Linked DNA regions of Diceros bicornis minor. The main gene of each other region encodes a partner of the protein of the gene in region 2 in a complex. Links are inferred from orthologs where the notes say so. Each region holds a gene or a part of one and is shown on either strand. Other genes may lie near its edges.

Region 1 (8,004 bases), on a different chromosome or scaffold from region 2:
CTTTCCGTATTTCTGCTGCTAGACTTGACTCTCTCTCTCTTTTTTTTTTTTTTGTGAGGGAGATCAGCCCTGAGCTAACATCCATGCTAATCCTCCTCTTTTTGCTGAGGAAGACCGGCTCTGAGCTAACATCTATACCAATCCTCCTCCTTTTTTTCCCCCCAAAGCCCCAGTAGATAGTTGTATGTCATAGTTGCACATCCTTCTAGTTGCTGTATGTGGGACGCCGCCTCATCATGGTGGGACAAGTGGTGCGTTGGTGCGTGCCCGGGATCCGAACACCGGGCTGCCAGTAGCAGAGCGCGTGCGCTTAACCGCTAAGCCACGGGGCCGGCCCCTACTCTTTAATATAAGCTCAAAATTAAAGATTGCTTGACCTTTTAAACTTTTAACTTTACATAAATAAATAAATAATCCAGACATGAACCAATCTAGCATAATTCTCTTAAGGTATGCAAAAAGATCCACTGTACATTAGAAACACCCAGGAGAATGGCAGAAGGGGACGGAGGGTGTCTTCCCTCTGGTTCTGTGCAGCCATACCTGAGGACATGATCTCCTTTGGAGTCAGGACTGCCAGGTAGGAAATGTTAACCAGTAGGTAGGTCAAGGCTACAAGGGTAAGTGCAGTAATCAGACATTTGGGGATATTCTCACCGGGGTTTTTCAGCTCTCCTGCAAAAAAAAAAAAAAAAAAAAAACCCATAACATAAAAAAATGACTAATTCTATAACATTTGAAAGTGGTTTCAATATAACATATAATAAGAAAAAGAAATGACTCTGCAAATGGAAGGAGCTCATTTTTGTTGAATATTATTTACCATGTCCCAGGTGAATTACTGATTCTAGTAGCAATAGATTTGTGTTAAATTCTGAGGTTTCAATGCTGTCTCCCTGAGATACTCGACATGAGCCTCTTGGATGAGAAGAGAACAGCTCAGAAACCCTGAACTGTAGTCCAGGAGAACTGGAGGGAACCTTCCCCTATCTTGTGGCCAACTTGGTAGAATTGTAACTACGCGTTAATGAAGGATTGGAATAGCTGATCTGTTAATCTGGTCACAATATTCTAGGAGTTAGTGTAGACTCCTTGCTCTTTTCACTCTTTGGATTAAGTCTCTAGATTAGATAAAACTGGGATTAAACTTGAGTATATATTGCCAACACCAAGATTAACACAAGTGTTTAACTATTTGGAAAATATAAAGTTATGTTATTACCTCACACTATACAACTCCCTTAAAAGAATTCATATGTATGAAAGAGTAAAATGTAAAAGTAAGACCACAAAGATTTAGAGAAAGAAGCACAGATATATATTATCTAAATCTTGAGATGGGGAAAGACTTTTGAAGTATGAAAACAAGGCAAAATTAAAATATTCATAGTTTGATACTATAAGTATTAAAATTATAGTCTTAAAAATCTTATGAAAAAAATAAGAAGCAAAGAACAAACTGGGGAAAATATTTGCCTGTATTCTTACAAGAAAGAAATATAAATGGTCATGAATAATTGCAAAACTCTTTCCTCCCATTAGTAATCGAAGAAAAAGTGAGTTACAACACTGAGATTTGATTTCCACAAATCTAATAACAAAAGAATACAAAAAGTATAATAATGCCAAGTGTAGTCATTTTAATTCACACTAAAAGAACTATTTGTAGAGCCTTTCTGGAAGGCAATTTCTCAGCACATTTCTAAATACTTATATGCTTCACTTAGTAATATCATTTCAAGATTTTTTTCTAATAAAGCAATGAGAAATCCACAAAGATTTATGTAGAAGGATGCTGATTGCAACAATAAGTATAAAACGTAAAAGTGAAAAACTGGCAACAGCTCTGGATCCAACAAAGGGAAAACATTTAAGTAATAGTCAAATTTCATATGATAGAACACTGTGTATTCATCAAAAACCATTTATATTTAATAATAATTGTAAATTCTCTCTATGTACTTTAAGTAAAATAAAGTTATTAGAGTATAAGTACAGTGATCCTTGCATGTGTGTACATGCAAGTAATCTTTATTTTAATTTATATTTTCTGTATTTAAATATTTTCTCTGATAAGAATCAGTTATAATTAGGAAATATAGACTATTAAAATATTTGCTCAATAAAAAAGTGCAATTGCTATGGGGTCTTTAAGCTGCTTCTGTTTTGTGTTCCCCTGTTTTAATTGTAAATGCCTGGAAAATATTTCACTTTCCAAAGTTGGAAAGCCACATTTGTAGAGGGTTTAATGTGTTTCCACGCACCTGATAAAATAAGACAGAAACACATCATATCAAAACGATGTAGTATTTCTTTCTTAGAATTAAGGTGCTTGAATGTTAATGTGTTTTTAGCCTAGTGGTAGATTTTATAATTTAAAAATTAATTTTACCTGCTATTCGAACGAGGACTCCCCAGCCTGAGTATGCATATAATCCTTGTAAGAAGGCTTCTGCAATCTGGGAGGCTCCTGGAACTTCGGCATCGAAAGCGTTCTCAAACCTGGCGAGGTTCTCTTTCCTTCCTCTCACCAGCAGCACGATTCCGGTTATGGAGATGAAGCAGAGAACTGTCATTTTCACCACCGTACTGACAGTCTGAAACCAAGCCACTTCTTTCACTCCTCGAGCATTCAGAATTCCCAAACACCATAAAATGGCCAACGCCAAACATTTCTTTGGCATCTCAGGAACGAAACATCCAGGATAGAAGGGCTGCATGATATACCCTGCTAGTAACAAGCCACGTGCAGCAATGCCTGCCGGCGCACTAAATAGAGTGACCCAGATGTAGAAGAAAGCAATAAAGGGTCCAAGGGATCTCTTGAGGAAACAGTACTGGGCTCCACTTCTAGGGAGGGTGGTCCCCAGCTCTGCGTGACTCAGGGCAGCCATCATAGACACTATGGCGCAAGCAGCCCAAATGCTTAGGGAGACCCCCACGTTGAGCGAGGAGTATTTTAATACCCCTTTAGGGGCAATAAATATCCCTGCACCTATTATGACACTGAATAAGAAAATTGTTCCGTGGAAATATCCTATTACCCTTTGAAGCTGTGTACTCTCCCTTTTCTTCATTTTCTTAAATCTGAAAGTTTGCTTTAAAAGCTGACACTAATTCACAGTTTTTACCCTGTTGTCTTTCTGAAAGGCTTCAGCCGGGCTTCTTATAGTCAAGCACTTTGCTCTCCTCCTCCTCTCTTAGCCAAATGTATTTTGTTACAGCACCTAACATAGTAAAAAAAAATTAACCTGTGAGTTAATTGAACTAAAGTTTCTGAGATCTTGATATTAGAGTTAAAATGTTTTACACGTTAAGCTTTTAAAAAGTTGTGCACAACAAGTTAGACACAGCTAATTGGGAGTGAGAGAAAAAAAATTCCAATTCAAGATTCTTCTATGGATATGTAAGCTCATTCATTTTGACCATTAAAGAAGTAATTTTTTAAGTTTGTACCATAAAGAAGTTTGTAGAATGACAAAGAGTGCAAGGTTGGAACCACATGTGCCATTTGTGAGCAGATCTTGGTTTGAATCACACACATCTGCCACTTACTAGCAAATCTATGTACTTAACTTACTGATTTTCAATTGTGTTCTTTTAAAAATGGTACTGATAGGGGCCAGCCCGGTGGCGCAAGCGGTTAAGTGCGCGCGCTCCGCTGCGGGGGCCCGGGGTTTGCTGGTTCGGATCCCGGGCGCGCACCGACGCGCTGCTTGCTTGTCAGGCCATGCTGTGGCGACCTCCCATATAAAGTGGAGGAAGATGGGCACGGATGTTAGCCCAGGGCTGTCTTCCTCAGCAAAAAAAAGAGGAGGATTGGCAGATGTTAGCACAGGGCTGATCTCCTCATAAAAAAAAAAAAAAAAAATGGTACTGATAATCCCCATCTTGTTCCCTACCTTATTTTTTTCTTCAGTAGGATTAAATGAGGTAATTTATCTATAGAGCAAATACTAATAAAAAGCTCCTAGTAGTGTGCCTAATGTATATTAGGGATCCATTATTGTTAGTTTCATAATCTGGTTATTTTAGTTCTCACTATCTACATTATATACAGAGTGCTTCAGTGTCTCTAGGGTTCTTTGAAAACATTTTGCAGTTAGTTGCAAACTAGACGGACTTCTCAACAAGCAGATCCCTTGGTACACATATTTAGAGTTTTACATTTCCCCTGTCAACATTCTTATAGGGGCATGATTCATCTTTTCGACGTGATTTATTTTTTCTATATTTCCAGCTACTTACTGCTGAGGGCACACTCTTTTGAGCATCTGCTTTTTGCCAGGTATTGTGCTAATCAACGCATGTACAGGATGACTAAGACATGGTCTGGGTCTCGTCCACCATTGTAACCCTGCTCCTTGGTCCAGCTCAGGGTATGCAGTATGTCTCAGTAAATCTGTTGAATTACTGACTCTTATCCTCCAGAGGCTCCTGTCTAGGGAAGACGTATATAAACCAAGACTTTTTATGTACTGGCTTTGAGCTTCAACAGGGTAATACTAATAATAGCCAACATTTACATGACACCTACTATGTGCTGAGAACCATGTTTAACACTTACATTAACTCGTTAAGTCAAATCAGCCACCTCATGATATAGTAGAGATAGATGAGGAAATTAAGGGATAAAAAATTAAATAATTTGCTGGGGTCACCCAGCTATTCACTTGAATTAATTAATTAAATAATTAAGTAAACAATAGATTAATTGAAATTAAATTTTATATATTTTTACATACATATTTATATAGATTTATGATTTTAGTTATAAATAAATAATTCTGTAAAGCCACAAAAAGCCAAACACAATTCAATGACAATATAAACCATGAAAGTTGTGTCAGTGCAGGCAGGTATTTCAACCAGGTAACTAGACTCTAATTCATTTCTTGGCTGTGAGAACAGTATTCTGAAGATCTCTAGACATATTACTACAGTTACAAGCAAAACTCCTTGGGAATAGTCTATAGTTCTTTTTCTGGCATAAAAACATGCATAGACCAATGGAACAGAATTGAAAGCCCAGAAATAAACCCATGCGTATACTGTCAACTGGTATTTGACAAAGGAGCCAAGAACACTCAATGGGAAAAAATAGTCTCTTCAATAAACGGTGTTGGGAAAACTGGATATTCACAGGCAAAAGAAAGACATTGGACCCCTATCTTACAACACTCACAAAAATTCACTCAGAATGGATAAAGACTTAAACATAAGATCTGATGCTGTAAAACTCCTAGAAGAAAATACAGAAAAGAAGCTCCTTGACATTGATCTTACCAATGATTTTTTGGATATCACACCAAAAGTGCAAGCAATGGAAGCAAAAAAATAAACAAGTGGGACTACATCAACCTAAAAAACTCTGCACAGCAAAAGAAGCAATCAACAAAATGAAAATGCAACCAATGGAAAGGGAGAAAATATTTTCAAACCATCCATCTGATGGTTTTCAAACCCCCTATCTGATAAGGGGTTAATATCCAAAATATATAAGGAACTCACACAACTCAAGAGCAAAAAACCAAACAATCCAATTAAAAAATGGGCAGAGGACTTGAATAGACATTTTCCCAAGGAAGATATACAAATGGCTGACAGGCACATGAAAAGATATTCATTGCCTTTTGTAGCTGTTTACTCGATACTCTCCCTTTGTCTCTATATTTTTAATTCCTAAGATAGTAATTTGTAATTGCTGTTTATGTTTGACCATGCTTCTGAATACCTTATAGAAACTCCTTGATTGCATTAGATGTTGTGTTAGGTATATGAAAATAAAAATAATAAACTAGATTTGGGGAATATTTGACATATTGGAGTCGTATGATCTCTGTTCAGGCTGACTTGTGTAACCTTAGACATTTCCCTTTGTTTTCTCTGCATCAATTTCCTTCATTTATAAGTTAATGGAATGGGATTGCATCTATACCTCTCAAACTGAAATACTCATTGCTGAAATAAGTGTATGCCAGGGAATAGGTGAAGCCATGGCATAAATGTTATTCATCTTCCTGAGGTGTCAATTTCACTCGAAGTACTTTTGGAAAATTTTTGAGGAATTTATTTAAGGACTCAAAATTTATTTTGAAGTGTTTATTTTAAACATGCATATATTATGGAATTAAGATTTTTTCTTGGATAAAAAACTAATCTTCAAATATGTAGCCACTCCACTGAGATGGGGTGGATACCCCACTCCCGCTATTCAAAATTTGGTTCAGATGTCAAGACTGATGATGACATGTATGCACGAAGAGAGTATGGAAGTGCTTATTAGTCTCATAATGAGACTTCTTGTGGGGACAGGGCAGGGTCCCAAGCAGGTCCAAAAATGTCCTGAGACGGCAGGCAGGAGTTACTAGCTTGGGGTTCTATGGTGGTTAGGGGGTAGGGCTGGGATGCGAGTTACCATTTGAATGAGATGCAGCTTGTGTAATTCCAAGTTCCTGTTCGTGCCGATGGAGGGAACACCAGCCTTTCTTATCAGCTTGCCCAGATGTTGGGCAGAAAGTGAAAGGGAGTCATGAGGCTTAAAAGCTGTCAGCAAACATCAAAATGGAGTCAGACTCTATTAAAATGGATTTTTAAATTTTGCATTATTAGAGTGCTTCTTTGAGCTGTATCTCCAGAACACTGCCTCCAAGTTTTGGTATACTAAACCAATGTCCTCTCTGCCGTCCACTCAATTGTTCTACAAATATTCATGAACTGCTAAAATGTACGTTGTTTTAGGTGCTCTAGATACATCAGTGTACAAAATAATAATGGCACAGTGGACCTTAAATTCTTTTGGCATTGTTTAACATCCATAGCTTGAGGGTGGGGAAGATGATCAGGAAACTTTTATCCTCATTCAGAATCAGTTCACACAGAAAGACTATACACCATTCTACAGAGTGGCCGTGTCTGTGAACTTTGTGCCAGTGCCTCTATCCCGTCTGTGAGAAAGAAGGTCGCACAGCTGGTCACACAAAAGATAACAAAGTAAATTCTTTTATTACTGTCACTCCGTAATTCAGATGAGGAATTTATACTGGATTTTAGGAGAGCATGTGTTTTGAGGCCCTTATTTTAGTCTGGTCTAGTGGTCTATGTTCCTTCTTACAGCATGGAACGCTAGAACAAATTTTAGAGTTGCACAGACTCTGCCTGTCTCCTTTCTCTAAATGATCTTGTTTTCACAATAAAAGTTACATGTGAAGCACTATGGCTGGAAATGAGGGTGGGGGATGAAGTGTGGTCCCTTTTTATATTTTCTCTTTGTTGTTTATACCAAAGCCAGATAGAGTGACGGAAAAAAAAAATAGAGAGTAGAGGAGTGTGGAAAGGATACGTGTAGGTTAGAAGGAGAACCTGAAAGCATATTATCCAGGTCTTTTGGATTCAGGTGATGTACGTGCTGCTCTCAAGGACTGGAAACTTTTGGGAGATAGAGAAAGCAATGAGCTTGGGCTGAAGGTTCCTATGTGCCCTCATCCTGTCAGGGAATAGATTTGTACAGAAAATCTGTGTAAAACAGTACTACTAGCAGGAGGAGAGGATGCTGATCCTTGAACCATTTGAACAGCTCAATGGAGCAGAAAGAGACTCTGGACTATAAATTAACACCCAAACTAAGGAACTCAGGAAGGTAATTAATATATTACATCAAGGCTTCTGATTTCTGATGTGGCATGTAGACAGCTTAGAAGTGTTCACTTCGTCCTAACAACAGCTTTTTAAGGCTGAACAAACAGGAGAATCAACAACTCTTGGATCTGTCAGAACGCTGACGTCAGAGGGAAAGCTGTTGCCCCCAAACAGGAGAGACAAACAGGCAGATACAGAGAATCACAACTTACCTGAGCAGAAATTCACAAGCAGTCATCTGCAAGGACCATACCAGGATACGAAAGCCAAAACGTAGTTGATGAATCGCTAGAGGCTCTATGTGGACAAGTCTGAGAGATAAAACTCCAGGGGGACCCAGTTACACGGGGGCCCACACACTTTTGT
Region 2 (7,799 bases):
AGGAACATGACTAAGATCGAAATATTTACATTGAGGCAGAAATATTTGGAATTTTGTTGAATTTGGGTGGAATTCCAATAGCAAGGTCTAGTTCTACAAACAGCATCAAATTAGTCTTCTAGTAGTAACCTTTGACCTTTAACATACATGCATAACATTAAAAAAAATCTGTCTGTGGCTTGTTCATATTTTATGTTTAAAACCAAGATGACAGTATTGTTAATTTATTCTCCACCTGGTTTTTGAGCACCTAATCTAGGCCGGGTGGTGGGCTAAGTGCCAAGGTACAAAGACTAATACATGGCCCCTGATGGTCACATGGTCTAAACTGAACTGTCCAGTATGACAGCCACTTGCCACATGCGGCTATTGAGCACTTGCAATGTGCTAGTCTGAACCGAGATGTGCTATACATGTAAAACACACGCCGGACTTTGAAGACCCAGTATGCAAAGAAAGACTGTGAAATATCCTATTAATATTTTTATATTGATTATATGTTGAAATGATATACTGGATTAAACAAAATACATTAAAATTAATTTCACCTGTTTCTTTTTAATTTTTTTAATGTGGCTCCTCGAAAATTTACAGTTACATGTGTGGTTCACCTTCTGTTTCCTTTGGACAGTGCTGAAGCCAAGAATTCATATAGAAGAGAATTCTAGACTTGGCTGAGAAGAGATACCGGAATGAAATTCTTTGTACTTGGAACCTTGTAAGATAATTAGCAGATAGCGTGTTTTTTTGCTTCTAGTTCAGAGTCCTAAATGCAGATTCAGAGACTTGAATCTCGTACTCAACCTCCAGTAACTGTCTGTGGGACACTATGTGGCTTACTACAGTCAGAGCCTGTCAGGGATCACACAGCAGGCTGGAGGCCACTGAGACCAAAGCACAGTCACCTGACTCCTGGCATCTGGGCTCTTCCCTTACAACGGGCTGCTTATTTTCGTCCTCTTTGTACCTCAGTTCCTCCGTATGGGTGGCTGTGAGACTCACAGAGGGTCAACCGGCAACAAAAGGATTTTGATTTAAGTCAGAACAACCATACAATATAGCTTACGAACAGGCACAAAGGAAGAGGATGATAAAAACGAAGGGACTGAACGGTCACAAAGTAAACAAGGGATCCCAGGCCCACACCCAGGGGACAGAAGGCAGTCACCAAAAACTGAAACCTGGCCTCGTTTCCTCAGACAATAACAACAAAATCCCCTCAACCTCAAGGACAAATACCTATTGAGCCAGTCCCTCAAGGAGAAGTTATTGGAAATGACAAATGAAGAGCTGAGTAGAAGCTGCCCTGTTTCTGGGAATTTGGGGTTATCTCGAAGGAGATTACAAGGGAGGGCCAGGAAGTGGGGGCGCATATCTTTGAGTTTAGGGATCTTAGCTGTATTCCATCAAAACATCACTTTTGTTAAGCAGTCACTGCATAAAAGGCAGCAGGTGCTAGGGCCATGCGGGGGTAGGGGGCGTGGAAGGGAAGTCACCCAGGTATGTTCCAAGGCAGCACCAGAGGATGCTACAAACACGCTCCAAAGCACCCCGGGAGCTCTAGGGAGGGGAGCCGCGCTCTGGTAGAGGAGTTAGATACAGACTAATGCAGGAAATGGGTTGGAACTGCTCCTTGAAGGACAGATAGTATTTCGATTAGTGAAGATGCAGGAAGATTAAAAAAGAGAGAGAATGATATGAGCGCAAAAAAGAAAAGCCTTTTATCAGTTTTTAAGGAAAGTTGGAGATTTCAAGAGTTTATATGTAACATTAAAAGTTAGATTAAGCTCATTCCCACTTCCCACACTCTATTAAATCATTCTGTTTTATTTTGTTGAAACCAAATATCATCATCAAACATTACCTTGTTAGTTTATTTGTTTCTTTTCATTGCCCTTACCTAGGGTGACCATATCAACCAGTTTGCCCAGGACGGTTCCAGTTTGTGCCTGCTGTGTGGCATAATTTTACTTTTAAAAGTGTCCTGGTTTGAGCAATAAATTATAAGGACGTTCTACATGTAACTCACTAGGAAATTATTAGCATAACTTCAAAAAAATAATTTTTTACTTCTATTTTTTTTACTAATACGAGTATTGTTTTCAATAATCCTTTATTCAAGTAATGACCAATACACTGCTATGCCTTTTTTCCTTTCCTTCATTTCTCAAGATTTAAACTTTAAAGACTCAACCTACACCTTTTAAAGACATCAGATATTCAACTATAAATCATCAACTATATTTACTCAGACAATCAACTATATCAAAAGATAATCAACTATAAAGTGCACAGAAGCAGGCAACATTTCAGAGGAAACTTGCTCCGTGTAAGAAGTTAGAATTGATGACCAATTAAGCATACGTATACTTACTGAGCAATAAATTAAACAACTCTTTGGGGGTTCAAAGGCCTCCAGCAAGTAGCCTTTCATCATAAGGGGAGAATTGCTGCGTTCTGTTGAATGGTTTTTTAAAATATCATAAACAAGGAGAAACTTGGCATGCCAGTCATACTGGAATGTGCTTTAGCCGCACAACTCAGGCATAACTCGTTTTCAAGGATTCAGAGAGCCATAAACCAATGTCATCCTGGCCCCGCCCTAAACTGTCTCCAGGCACACACCTTTTAGATCTCCGTTTCCATCCTGATCGCTGTCCTTGAAAGATCTCGGGTAGATCTGGTACATGGGCCCCGCCTGCCACCAGTCGAGGCACTTTGGGGAGATGGCGATGATGGCTATGGTGGCCCCAATGAGCACGAGCACAGAAGCCACAGTGAGCCAGAAGAGGATCTCCCGGGGCACCCGGTAGCGAGCCTGGCGCGAGAAGTGGAACAGCACCTCCTTGGGCATCCCTGCATAGGGCTGGATGTCCTTCAGGTCGGGCTCTGCGGAGCCCGGGATGCCCACGGCGGTGAGGTGTGGGCTGTCAGCCCTGCTGCCTGGATCTGGGTCTCTCTCTAGAATGTCTTCATTTTGGACAAACCCGTTGTTTGTTTGGCCTCCCTTTATACTCATTCCGATGAAGTCTCTCTTGCTTTTATCCTCAGCCATGTCTCACGGTCTTATCCTTGTGGAGTGCCTTCCTGAAATACAGAGGTGGGAAGGTAGCTGGCTGAAATGCTTGGTCATGTTAATAAGCTTTACGTGGTTTATAAATAAACCTGGCTGGACAAAGTCCAGCCCAGGAAGAAAGGGTAAAGGTAAAGGGGGTTTTAAAAATAATCTGTTTACACTCCTGAGGCTGATATAGCTACAGTCACAACACTGAGGGGGTCAGACCTGGCCTGGAACAGGGGCATAGAGGAAGGGAAATGGGAAGAAGAGGCAGGATTCCACTGCAACTTAAGATGTTACTTGACTGAGTAACCAACGTTCACAGCAACATTATTCACAATAGTCAAAAGGTGGAAACAAGCCAAGTGTCATGAACAGATGAATGGACAAATAAAATGTGATATATGCATACAGTGGAATATTATTCAGCTTTAAAAAGGAAGGATATTCTGACATGCTACAACATGGATGAACCTTGAGGACATTATGCTAAGTGAAATAAGCCAGACACAAAAAGACAGATATTGTATGATTCCACCGATATGAGGCACCTAGACAAATTCATAAAGACAAAGAGTAGAAGGGTAGTTACCAGGGGTGGCGGGGTCGGGGGAGGCGGGTACTGGGGAGTAACTATTTAATGAGTACAGAGTTTACATTTGGGATGATGAAAAAGTTCTGGAGGTGGATAGTGGTGATGGTTGCACAACAATGTAAATATACTTAATGCCACTGAATTGTACGCTTACAAATGGTTAATGTAGTAAATTTTATGTTATGTATATTTTACCACAATAAAAAAAAATAGCTTTAAATTTTTTCTTTTAGCTAGGTGTGAGAAAAAGAAACAAATACTAAATTTTGCAAGGGGAAACAGGCTTTTTTGTATTCTTTGATTTGAAGGTCTCTTCTCTTCCTACAAATCCAGGTTACTGAAGCTAATTTTATTTTATCTCAGTTCAAGCAAACCTTATAAATACCCATTTGTACACTCAATTCACCCCCAGGTGCCTTCAGTCTTGTTTCCTATTTTCAGAAAAGGAAATGGCTGCCCATTCTTGGAAGCACTTTCCAGAGATTGGGGCTGGTGGGGAGAAAGGATTCATGTCTAGCAAGTTCAAGTGCTTTCCTATAGGTAAACAGTTCTTAATACAAGCACTAAAGAGGTGTTTAATCATTGACAAGTGTAAAATACAGCATTTGCAACCCTGAGATAATCTCTTTAAAGTTAAGTGTGCTTTCTTAGAAGATTCTGCAAGCCTGCAAAGAATGTGGTGATTCAGAGTTTTCGTTTAATCAATGGCACTTAAACAGCCCTATGAATCATTTGATCAGATAACAAGAAGTGTTTTTTTCTTTTAAATGAGGAAAGTTATTTGAAATCCTAACATTACTGTTGTTTTGTAGAGTGACTTAGAAGCAATATATGGTACAGAGAAATGAGCTACTTGATTTTGAACAAGTTACTTTTTGCAGAGGGTGGGCGGGTAGGGCGGAATTTTATTTGTTTTATTTCCAGCTGATTCTCCAGCTTCTAGGCCAGTGCCAGGCCCAGAGTATGTGCTTAATAAATATTTGTGGAATTAATGAGTAAGTGAATCCCACCCCCTTTTTTTTTTTGCTGAGGAAGATTTGCCCTAAGTTAACATCTGCTGCCAATCTTCCTCTTTTTTTGCTTGAGGAAGATTAGCCCTGAGCTAACATCTGTGCCAATCTTCCTCTATTTTGTAGGTGAGATGCCACCATAGCATGGCTGGCGAGGTTTGGATCCCACATCTAGGATCCCAACCTGCGAACCTGGGCTGCCCAAGCAAAGTGTGCACAACTTGAACCACTCAGCCACGGGGCGGGCCTCTGCACAAGTTACTTTTAAAAATGAGTAAATCCCAATATGTAGCTCATTGAATGAATCCAATAAGCAGCATCTCTCATTTTTACTAATTATGCATATTGTGCATTCTTTAAAAATCAAAGGAATTTAACTTTTATGTCTTGAAATGCTTTATCTCAAACACATAATGATAATTTTCACAACAGGAGCTAATTCTTGAAATTCACTTACTATTTGGGGAAAAAACAATGTGCAAAAATACCCATGATTTTCAGATAATTTCAAATTATAAGAAATAACTTTTTTTCCTTTCGTGAGAAAGCTTGGCCCTCTTTTTTTGCTGAGGAAGAGTGACCCTGAGCTAACATCTGTGCCCATCTTCCTCTATTTTGTATATGGGACGCCTCCACAGCATGGCTTGATGAGTAGTGTGTGTCCACACCCAGGATCTGAACCTGCGAACCCCGGGCCACCAAAACAGAGTGCACCTAACTTTACCACTGTGCCACTGGGCCAGCCCCAAGAAATAACTTTTAATTATAAATTCTTAAATTCTAAGTGTACAATCGTATAAATGCAAAAAAACTCTACATCATAGCAATATGCCCTCATGACAGAAATGTTCCATTTCAACTTCTCTACATTTTATTTAAAATGACAATAACAACAATACTTTGGAATTCCAGAACACGCAAACTAAAATCTTTTAAAAAACAATCTAGAATAATTATCTTGTCTCTGGTGGGAAGTTTTTGTTTTTGTTTTGTGAGGAAGATCAACCCTTGTGCTAACATCTGCCAATCCTCCTCTTTTTTTTGCTGAGGAAGACTGGCCGTGGGCTAACATCCGTATCCATCTTCCTCCACTTTATATGGGATGCCACCACAGCATGGCTTGCCAAGCGATGCGTCGGTGCACACCCAGGATCCGAACCTGTGAACGCCGAAGTGGAGCGCGCACACTTAACTGCTTGCGCCACCGGGCCGGCTCCTGGTGGGAAGATTTTTTAAACAATAAAAGTAATTACCAAAGAAGATTGCTTTGGGGCTGGCCTGGTGGCGTAGTGGTTAAGTTCACACACTCCGCTTCGGTGGCCCAGGGTTCGCGGGTTCGGATCCTGGGTGCGGACCTAAGCACTGCCTATGCACTGCTTATCAAGCCATGCTGTGGTGGTGTCCCACATATAAAGTGGAGGAAGATGGACCCAGATGTTAGCTCAGGGCCAATCTTCCTCACCAAAAAAAAAAGAAAGAAAAGAAGAAGAAGAAGATTGAATAAAATTTTTGAATTTATTATATTGCAAAACACACTAACTGAACATCATATGACAAATTGTGAAATATATTGGTAACAAATATGCCAAAGAACTTATGTTTTTAATGTCAAAAGTATGTATATTTTGTTAGACATTATGTATATATATATGAAATTTCATAGCAATTTAAAAATATAATTTCAATAGAAAACTTGAAAAAAGAATATAGATAGACATTTCACACAAATCAACTCACTAATATCAGAGAAATAAATAGGCTTTTTATTTTTAATTACACTGGCAAAGAACTTCTAAAAGATAATAGTGCTGGCAAGGGTCCAGCGTAAATTGACATAATAATTCTAGAAAGTAATGTGGCAATGTATATCATGAATTTTAACATTTTCAGAGTAATAATTGAGGCTAGTCTTGCCAGATTTTAAAATAAAACTCCAGAAAAATAAAGAGTTGATACTAAAGAAAGGACAGGTCAAAAGATCAGTTGAACAGATTGAAGTCACCAAACTAGACCCCTATACAGAAGTGAATTTAGAATAAGAAAAGGCAACATTTCACATCAGTGAGGAAAAGAAAGATTATTTAGTAACTGACGTCGGATAATTGGATAACTAGTGGGAAAAGAAAATAAAGCTATATAGCTTACCTTATTCCTGACATCAAAATAAGTTCTATGTGGATCAGATTCAAAAGTGAAAAATAAAACTGTAAAAAACACTAGACGGAAATTTGTGTATTTTAAAAAATAATCTTGGATTTGGAAAGCCTCTCTAAATATAATACAAAATACAAAACCTAGACACCACAATGGAAAAAAACTGATAAATTTTATTCCAAAAATTGAAAGCAAACAGAACAATCCACAAGGATAAAAGGCAAATGGCAAACTAGAAGAAAATATTTTAACACATATGACAAACTAATTTCCATAATATAGAAATTAATTATACAAATTAACACCAGAAAATAAAAAAACAGACAAAAGATGTAAACAGTTGACAGGAAAAAAATACAAGTGCTTAATAAACATAAAATGTAAATTTCACTAAAAATTAAAGAAATAAGAAACAAAAATAAAAAGGATATACTATGTTTAAACTACCATTATGGCAAAAATGAGAAAGTTTGATAATATCCAGCATCAAAAAATATATAGGGAGCCAGCAGACTCATACATTCATGGCCGGAGTTTGAACTAGTGCAATCTTTGTATAGAAAAATTGGGGAGTATATATCAAAACTATAAATTGCATAACCTTTGACTCAGAAATTACACTGCTAAAAATTTATCTTGGTGATGTAACCAACAAGATATATATACAAGGACAAACACTGCAACAAAATTGGAAACAATCTAAATAACCATCAATACAGAATCATTTAAATAAATTATGACATATTCAGACAATGGAATACCACATAGCTCCTACAAAGAATGAGTTTATCTATCTGGGCTGACAGACAAAAAATGTTTAAAATATAGTGTGAAGTGGAAGAAATATTTTAGAACAGTATGTGTAATATAATCAGAATTGTGGGGGAAAAAGTGGCACTCACATTCGTGCATGCATATTGAACCTTCAGCTAGTGGTTGGCTGGAGACTGGGAATAAGAGAATGAAGACAATAATCCTTGGA
Region 3 (7,881 bases), on a different chromosome or scaffold from region 2:
GGAGGGCCAGTTCCCCGCAGAGGTGGATGTGGGCAAATAGAAATAAGATTACTAAAAATGGTAGCTCTTTATTAAAGAGCATTCAAGACCTGTGATTACTCAGAACCCTCCTTCCCTGACCCTGCCAGCTAATATACCTTTTCATCACGCGAGAACACTGAGGTTGAAAGGTGCAATGGTGACAAGGTGTGGGATTAGGGAGCAGGACGGGGAGTCACATTTTAGAAAATAATTAGATGAAACTCTGAAATGGAGTACTGGTTTCCCCAAGAGGATTATCCACAAAAAATTCCGTTACTTGGAAAACATAAAAATGATGAACACACCAAAAGCAAAGGCAACAAAAGCAAAAATAAACAAATGGGACTAGATCAGACTAAAAAGCTTCTGCACAGCAAAGGAAACCATCAACAAAGAGAAAAGGCAACCTACAAAATGGGAGAAAATATTTGCAAATCATATGTCTGATAAGGGGTTAATATCTAAAATACATAAAGAACTCATACGACTCAATAGCAAAAAACAATCCAATTAAAAAATTAGCAGATGGGCCGGCCCTGTGGCTTAGTGGTTGAGTGTGCACGCTCCGCTGCTGGCGGCCCAGGTTCGCATCCCGGGCGCGCACCGACGCACAGCTTCTCCAGCCATGCTGAGGCCACATCACACATACAGCAACTAGAAGGATGTGCAACTATGACATACAACTATCTACTGGGGCTTTGGGGGAAAAATAAATAAATAAATAAAATTATAAAAAAAAAAAATTAGCAGAGGATCTGAATAGACATTTTTCCAAAGAAGACACAGATGGCCAATAGGTACAGGAAAAGATGTTCAAATCAAGCGTTTGTGAGTATGTGGAGAAAAGGAAGCCCTGGTGCACTGTTGGTGGGAATGTAAACTGGTGCAGCCACTATGGAAAACAGAATGGAGGACCCTCAAAAAACTGAAAATAGAACTACCATATGATCCAGCTATCCCACTTCCAGGAATATATCTGAAGAAAAAAAAAAACACTACGTTAAAGAGATATCTTCCCCTCCATGTTCATTGCGGCATTATTTACAATAGCCAAGACATGGAAACAACCCAAGTGTTCATCTATGGATGAATGGATAAAGATGTGAGATGTATATATATATATATATATATATATATATATATGCACACACACACACGATGGAATATTATTCAGCCATAAAAAAGAAGGAAATCTTGCCATTTGCAACAATATGGATGGACTTTGAGGGCATTATGCTAAGTGAAATAAGTCAGACAAAGACAAATACTGTATGATCTCATGTATATGTGGAATCTGAAAAACCAAAAAACAAACAAACTGAACTCATAGATACAGAGAATAGATTGGTAGCTGCCAGAGGTGGAGGTGGGGGGTGGACAAAATGGGTGAAGGGGGTCAAAAGGTATAAACTTCCAATAATAATACTGTATTGTATATTTGAAAGTTGCTAAGACAGTAAATCTTAAAATTTCTCATCACAAGAAACAAAAAATTTGTAGCTATATGTGGTGACGGATGTTAAATAGGTTTATCGTGGTGATCATTTAGTAATATACACAAATATCGAATCCTTATGTTGTATACCCAGAACCAGTGCTGTATGTCAGTTATATCTCAATGAAAAAAGATGATGGACAAAGTTCTAAGGTAGAATTGCACTATCCCAATAGTTCTTGGATATATGTAGATACAGATTGTTTCCCAGATAAGATCTTAAATTGTGCTTTCCTTGCTAATTGTTTTATGGTTCGACTGTAAATCCTCGACACTTGAAGACTCTGCACATTCCACTGACTCTTCATGGGTTCTTCTGGCTGGAATTCAGGTAGGTAAGTAAACACCTGTTATATGGGATCCCCCCGAAGCCTTGAACCACGGTCGGCAGCAGTGGGAAGGAGTATAGGACCGAGTGAACTTAGGAAGAACAGAGGAAGGTTGGAAAACTCGAAGGCAGGTCTGGAGCAAATTTAAGTGGTAAAGGAAGATTCAGCATCTGTCTGGATGGTAGACTTTGCCTCTGTCGTGGAGGAAGGTGAATCAGAGGACAAGACACCAAGGGCTATGGAGAAACGGACTTCACCCCAGGCTCAGCGTGTCTTTAGAAAACATCACAGGAGAGGGAAGCAAATATGTACCAAATATAAGACGATAAAATAACATGCAGATGGTGTTACTATCTTCAAACTGCGAGCATCTGCAATTGGAAAAAGCACAGTGTGAAAGTGAAGGTCAAAGCTTTAGCAGAAACTTCAGGAATAATGGAGTTGTATGGAAAAATAATATGAAACTTCCTAGGAAATGAGCTGTAAGAGGGAATCGACTGCATGTGGTAAAACTTCAAAAAAACCTTAATTAGTTGATAACTCTCTCTGCTGGGGCAAAACAAAAAGAAGAAACAACAGCTCTTTTTTTTTTAATTAATTAATTTATTTTTTATTGCAGTAACATTGGTTTATAACATTGTATAAATTTCAGGTGTACATCATTATACTTCTATTTCTGCATAGATTACATCATGTTCACCACCCAAATACTAATTACAACCCATCACCACACACCTGTGCCTAATCATCCCTTTCACCCTCCTCCCTCCCCGCTTCCCCTCTGGTAACAATCCAATCTCTGTCTCTATGTGTTTGTTTGCTGTTGTTTTTATCTTCTACTTATGAGGGAAATCATACGGTATTTGACCTTCTCCCTCTGACTTATTTCACTTTGCATGATACCCTCAGTGTCTATCCATGTTGTCACAAATGGCTGGATTTCATCGTTTCTTATGGCTGAGTAGTATTCCATTGTGTATATATACCACATCTTCTTTAACCATTCGTCCCTTGATGGGCACTTAGGTTGCTTCCAAGTCTTGGCTATTGTGAATAACGCTGCAATGAACACAGGGGTGCGTGTATCTTTACGCATTGGTGTTTTCAAGTTCTTTGGATAAATACCCAGCAGTGGAATAGCTGGATCATATGGTGGTTCTATCCTTGATTTTTTGAGGAATCTCCATACTGTTTTCCATAGTGGCTGCACCAGTTTGCACCTCCACCAGCAGTGTATGAGAGTTCCCTTCTCTCCACATCCTCTCCAACACTTGTTGTTTCCTGTCTTGTTAAATATAGCCATTCTGACAGGCGTGAGGTGATATCTCATTGTAGTTTTGATTTGCATTTCCCTGATAGTTAATGATGATGAACATCTTTTCACATCCCTGTTGGCCATCTGTATATCTTCTCTGGAGAAATGTCTGCTCAGGTCTTTTGCCCATTTTTTTAATTGGGCTGTTAGTTTTTTTTTTGTTGAGATGTATGAGTTCTTTATATATTTTGGAGATTAACCCCTTATCAGATATATGGTTTGAAAATATCTTCTCCCTATTGTTAGGTTGTCTTTTCGTTTTGTTGATGGTTTCCTTAGAAACAATAGCTTTAAGAAAAGAAATGTTCACCATGGACCGAGTATTCACTGAGGTAGATTTCTGACCCTCAACAAAGGATCCTCACACCCAGATGTTCCCAAATCGGCACTTGGCAGAGGCCCAGGAAGACCAGGGAGCCTCTGCATCAACAGAAGGCTGAAGTTTAATGCGCAGCCTTCCGCAATCCCTCAGTTCCACGGGGGCGGCCAGTACGAGCCCCTCCTACAGATCTAGAACGTGATGTTTAGAGAGAAGATAAGTGACCCCAAAGCCATGTGGCTGGTGGCCGGCCCTCCTACCCTCTACCCCCTGCCCTCTTCAGGGGGTTTCTGTTAAAATATCCACCCTCTGGGGGCAACCTTGATGCAGGGAGTATTCTGGAGTGCTTTGTAAATATGGATGGGCCAGATGCTAGTTGAGTGCTGCTGTGTTAGCAAATACTTCTAGGAGTGACTCAAACGAGCCTGGGGCAGGTTCTCCTGGGGCAGCAGGTGCTGCCCTGCCCTCTGACTCCACGATCTGGGCAGATGAGCACTCTGCCCGGGGCTGGGGCTTGGCGGGCAGGGGAGCAGGCATGGCCCCACTAAGGGGGCAGCCAACAAACTTCTAAATCAGGACCCTGACTCTGGGACAGCAGGGGTCCCCACATCCTCCAGATGGCTTTAAGAGACGACCCCGAGAAAGCTGCCCTTCTCTCAAGTCCGCCTGCCCCAAAGTGCTCCCAAAGTGACCCCCAGTGACCCACCCAGCTCTGTCCTGTGACCTTTGGTCTCCTCTGGAGATCTGGGATGCTGTTCAATTTACCCCAGTGCAAAACTGCCGGCGATAAGAGCAACAATGCTTCAGGCTGGGCTCTTCCGCCCAGAGGAAGGCCTTATCTGAGATAAGGGATTAGAGCTGCCACCTGAGCCGCCTTTGTGGGGAGGGGCAGGTCTGCCCCCAGCCCCTCTGAGTGCAGCTGGAGCCCCTCTGCTGCCTCTCTGAGAAGGCCAGATCTCTGTGGCCTTGACGGACTTTGTTCCCTCTGGGGCCTCAGTTTCCCCATTGGGTGTGTGAGAGTGGAACTGATGACAATTTGTGCCCCTTTTCCACTCTACAGTTGGGCCAACGTGAGCCTGGGCTACTGAACAGCAGCACCACCAAACTGAAGGAGCGCCTGGCCCGAGCCGCACGCACAGACGGGGCAGGCCCTGCCGGAGGCCTCACTGCTGTGTCTGAATTCTGCCAAGCTCTCCTGCCGTTCCAGCTGGTGCCCAAACCCTGTCACTGCCGAAGTGAGTGGAAAAGACTCGCGCACCGTCCTGCTGGCCTGCTCAGCACCAGGTGGAAGGCAGACGGGCACTCGGGGAGGAAAACGTCTGGGCTGACCCGTGGTTACCTGCGCGGCGTGGCTGCTGGCGCTGCCTCACTGGAGCTGTAAGTAGAGCCCATTAAGGTCATAAAGAGTGAGTTCCAAAGTTTATCTCCGCTGGTTCCAGTCTTTGGAGAGATTTCTCCTTACATGATGCAGCTGATTTGGGGGAATCTGGTTAAGGAAAAAAATTAATCTAGACACGAACAAAATGAAAAATATTTTTGGAGGAAACAGGTTTGCCCGCCCCTCCCCTTTTTGTGTGATGTATCCAAGCTTCATTGCTAAAAAAAGGTGTTTAATAATTACCTTTGTTGACCTCTGTACCTTCTGGCTTCCTCTGCTCCTGGGCACAAGACATGGCCATTCCCAGGGCGCGACAGTGCAGACGCAGGCGGTCGGCCGCCACGGGCAGCTCCCCGGCTCTGCGAGGTCAGGAAGAAGGTAAGGGTGATGGGTGGGCTCCCCGCTCGCCTGGCCAGGGCCTGGAGGGGACTTTATTAGAGAAAGGGGACAGGAAATGACCATCAGCTAGTTCAGACTTGAGCTTATTTTCCGCAGCAACTTTTTTCATTCCTTGCATCAGTCAATGGAAAAACATCTACACTGGGGGTCTATTACGCATGAGGTGCCCTAATCTTGGGAGTAATCATGAGAAACTCTGTGGACTGTGGAGGCAGAATGATTTTGAAGCGTGTCACTGCTGAGAATTAGGAGACAGCACAGGCGGTGAGCCTGGAGGCTTGGGGCTCTGACTGGGAAGTCTGGAGACGAGCACAGAGCCTCCTTTGCAGTCAGAGGCCTGAACAGCAGTCAGGGTGAATTGTTATTCCTGGGATGGAGCAGATTATCCCTAAGGGATCGACAAGTGTACTTTCCTGAAACAGTAGCTAACAACCTGCTTTGGGAGTCAGTTCCACGACGCAGATGCGTTAGCTGAGCAGAGCCCTCGCTGACCTGCAATTGTGTCTTGTCTGCCAGAGCATTTGCCGAATCAAGGCCCGCGCCCTCCTAGAACCGGCAGGAGGGAAAAATGGAGGAGACCAGCCTGAGAAAAAGGAGAGAGGATGAGAAGTCTGTCCAGAGTAATGAACCCAAGAGCACAACTCTCCAGAAGGAGGTAAGGCTGTCCTCCGCGCGGGCCCTGCCCAGGGCAAGCAGGGTGTGTTAATGTTAATGAGCAGCGGCAGGCAGAGAAGTCCCAATGGTCTCTGATTTGTAAAGTACGTTTCTAACTGAACAATTCTTTGGACTTACCTCTTTCCCTCTCACCAGCAAACTCAACATTTTTTTTTTTGTGAGGAAGATCAGCCCTGAGCTAACATCCATGCTAATCTTCCTCTTTTTGCTGAGGAAGACCGGCTCTGAGCTAACATCTATTGCCAATCCTCCTCCTTTTTTTTTCCCCCAAAGCCCCAGTAGATAGTTGTATGTCATAGTTGCACATCCTTCTAGTTGCTGTATGTGGGACGCGGCCTCAGCATGGCTGGAGAAGCAGTGCGTCGGTGCGCACCCGGGATCCAAACCCGGGCCCCCAGCAGCAGAGCGCGCACACTTAACCACTAAGCCACTGTGCCGGCCCAAACTCAACATTTTCTTGTGACGTTAATACATGTGTGCTTCTGTGTGCTGGGCAAGCGTCCGGAGGGGTCCAGTAGCTGCTCAGGGATGGTCAGAGAGGACCTTCTGATGTGCGAGTCTCCTCTATAGCATCTTCTTCACCAAATGTCCGTTCCTCTCATGTTTGAATACCTCCAGTGATGGGAAGCTCCACTTAGGTCTCAGCGAGTCTAGCTGGGGTGGCGTGTCTGACGCGGGTGTGACATAGGTGACCCCTCTGAGTTGGAATGCAGTAAGGGCTGGACTTGGAGGTGCCTGCGGCCTAGAGGGGCCAGAGCGTGTGGTAGGTGGGCTGGCACTGGGCCTGCAAGGAGCGGGAGCTGTGGAGGGCGGGGAGTGGAGGCAGAAGGTGCTTGATGCTCCACAGGGTGGAGAGCGAGTCCCAGGGGATGGCGGCAGCAGGGGGTGGGCGTGGAGGGACAAGCTCCAGGCTCCTAAAATGCGGAGCGAGGGCCCCAGAGCAAGATTAGGAGGGCAGGACGGGTGGGCTGAGCTGTGGGCAGAGCCTCCGGGAGCTCCGTGCCTGGCAGCAGAGGGGATGGAGGAAGGATCTGGGGGTTGACAAAAGGCAGTGGCATGGCTTGACTGTGGGTTGGCCTAGGATCTTGGGTCCCCAGGAGTCAGCTCATGGGCAGCAACACTCTCCCTTTTGGCCATGAAAGGAGCACGGCTGAGCTAACCCTAGACAGCCAGCTTCGGGGTGAGTGCAGACCTCAGCAGGAGGAAGGATTCTGGAGGGCCCCGGGGTGTCGGTGGGCCAACCCGGGCGTCAGAGGAGGAAAGCTGAGACTGCCTGGGAGCTCCCCCTCCCTGAGGCCAGACTGAAGCGGAGGCTGCTCCTGGCACCACTCCTCCAATCGTGTGTGTCCCCTGGCGACCCGATTCCTTGTTCTCTGGGCTCCAACCCTGACCGCAGCCTCTGCCCAGACAGGCGAGCGCCTGCACGTTCACCTCGGGCTCCAGAAAGCAGGCCAGTGGCTTCCGAGGGCTGACGTTACACGGAGGGGCCTGAATCAGGCATTTTCTTCCTTTAAAGAAGTTTTTTTCCCTTGATTCGTGTCTAATTTACATGCAGTGAAATGTGCAGATCTTTAGTTCCCTCAGGAGGGCCCCCAACCCTGAGTGTCTCTCCCCGTGGACTAGTTTTGCCTACTACAAGTAAAGCCCCAGAAGCGGGCCCTGGTGTCATCCCTGCAATGGCCCGGGGCAAATCCCCCGGCACACGGGCCTGCCTGGGGCCGCGCCGGCCGCGGGAGGGAGAGGGCTGATGGGGCCATCCGAGCGGGAGCCGGGCGGCAGCATGAACTCTCCTCTTCCTTCCTCTCTGTCCCAGGTGGGCCTGATCAGCGGCATCTGCATCATCGTGGGCACCATCATCGGCTCGGGGATCTTCATTTCCCCCAAGTCTGTGCTCCGCAACACGGAAGCCGTGGGGCCCTGTCTCATCATATGGACGGCTTGTGGGATCCT

The links.
Region 1: the proteins of SLC3A1 (region 2) and solute carrier family 7 member 13-like are in contact, whole or in part, in a cryo-EM structure (PDB 8WK6), measured with the Homo sapiens proteins. The link is inferred for Diceros bicornis minor from reciprocal best matches to the Homo sapiens genes SLC3A1 and SLC7A13. Residues at the interface, in NP_000332.2 of Homo sapiens: Pro64, Tyr65, Ala66, Gly67, Met68, Pro69, Lys70, Leu73, Phe76, Ser77, Arg81, Tyr82, Pro85, Arg86, Leu89, Phe90, Thr93, Ser96, Val97, Leu100, Ile101, Thr104, Ile107, Ile108, Ser111, Cys114, Leu115, Glu194, Asn195, Asp202; in NP_620172.2 of Homo sapiens: Ile120, Phe123, Phe124, Pro125, Ser126, Cys127, Leu132, Pro133, Cys136, Leu137, Leu139, Ala140, Met141, Trp143, Ile147, Arg151, Lys187, Thr265, Arg267, Asp281, Arg282, Glu450, Cys454, Tyr455, Gln457, Leu458, Leu459, Phe460, Asn461, Ile462.
Region 3: the proteins of SLC3A1 (region 2) and SLC7A9 are in contact, whole or in part, in a cryo-EM structure (PDB 6LID), measured with the Homo sapiens proteins. The link is inferred for Diceros bicornis minor from reciprocal best matches to the Homo sapiens genes SLC3A1 and SLC7A9. Residues at the interface, in NP_000332.2 of Homo sapiens: Pro64, Tyr65, Ala66, Gly67, Met68, Pro69, Lys70, Leu73, Phe74, Phe76, Ser77, Tyr82, Pro85, Arg86, Phe90, Thr93, Val97, Leu100, Ile101, Ala103, Thr104, Ile107, Ile108, Ser111, Cys114, His201, Asp202, Thr373, Glu374, Pro375; in NP_001119807.1 of Homo sapiens: Cys137, Phe140, Tyr141, Val142, Gly143, Cys144, Pro147, Ile149, Val150, Cys153, Leu154, Ala156, Ala157, Leu160, Phe161, Thr164, Leu168, Thr279, Thr281, Asp295, Arg296, Tyr299, Tyr343, Val346, Arg347, Lys467, Thr470, Met471, His472, Gln474.

Annotation. Positions count from the first base shown.
Region 1 is NC_080772.1:35,165,838-35,173,841, reverse strand, and holds the start of solute carrier family 7 member 13-like, read right to left. Parts: upstream 3,078-8,004; coding exon 2,393-3,077; intron 676-2,392; coding exon 544-675; intron 1-543. UniProt on the Homo sapiens protein: Associates with SLC3A1/rBAT to form a functional heterodimeric complex that transports anionic and neutral amino acids across the apical plasma membrane of renal epithelium.
Region 2 is NC_080751.1:40,748,063-40,755,861, forward strand, and holds the start of SLC3A1 (neutral and basic amino acid transport protein rBAT), read right to left. Parts: upstream 3,073-7,799; 5' UTR 3,056-3,072; coding exon 2,626-3,055; intron 1-2,625. UniProt on the Homo sapiens protein: Acts as a chaperone that facilitates biogenesis and trafficking of functional transporter heteromers to the plasma membrane.
Region 3 is NC_080773.1:6,570,711-6,578,591, reverse strand, and holds the start of SLC7A9 (B(0,+)-type amino acid transporter 1), read left to right. Parts: upstream 1-4,816; 5' UTR 4,817-4,856; intron 4,857-5,153; exon of another isoform or gene 5,154-5,235; intron 5,236-5,772; 5' UTR 5,773-5,824; coding exon 5,825-5,911; intron 5,912-7,744; coding exon 7,745-7,881. UniProt on the Homo sapiens protein: Associates with SLC3A1 to form a functional transporter complex that mediates the electrogenic exchange between cationic amino acids and neutral amino acids, with a stoichiometry of 1:1.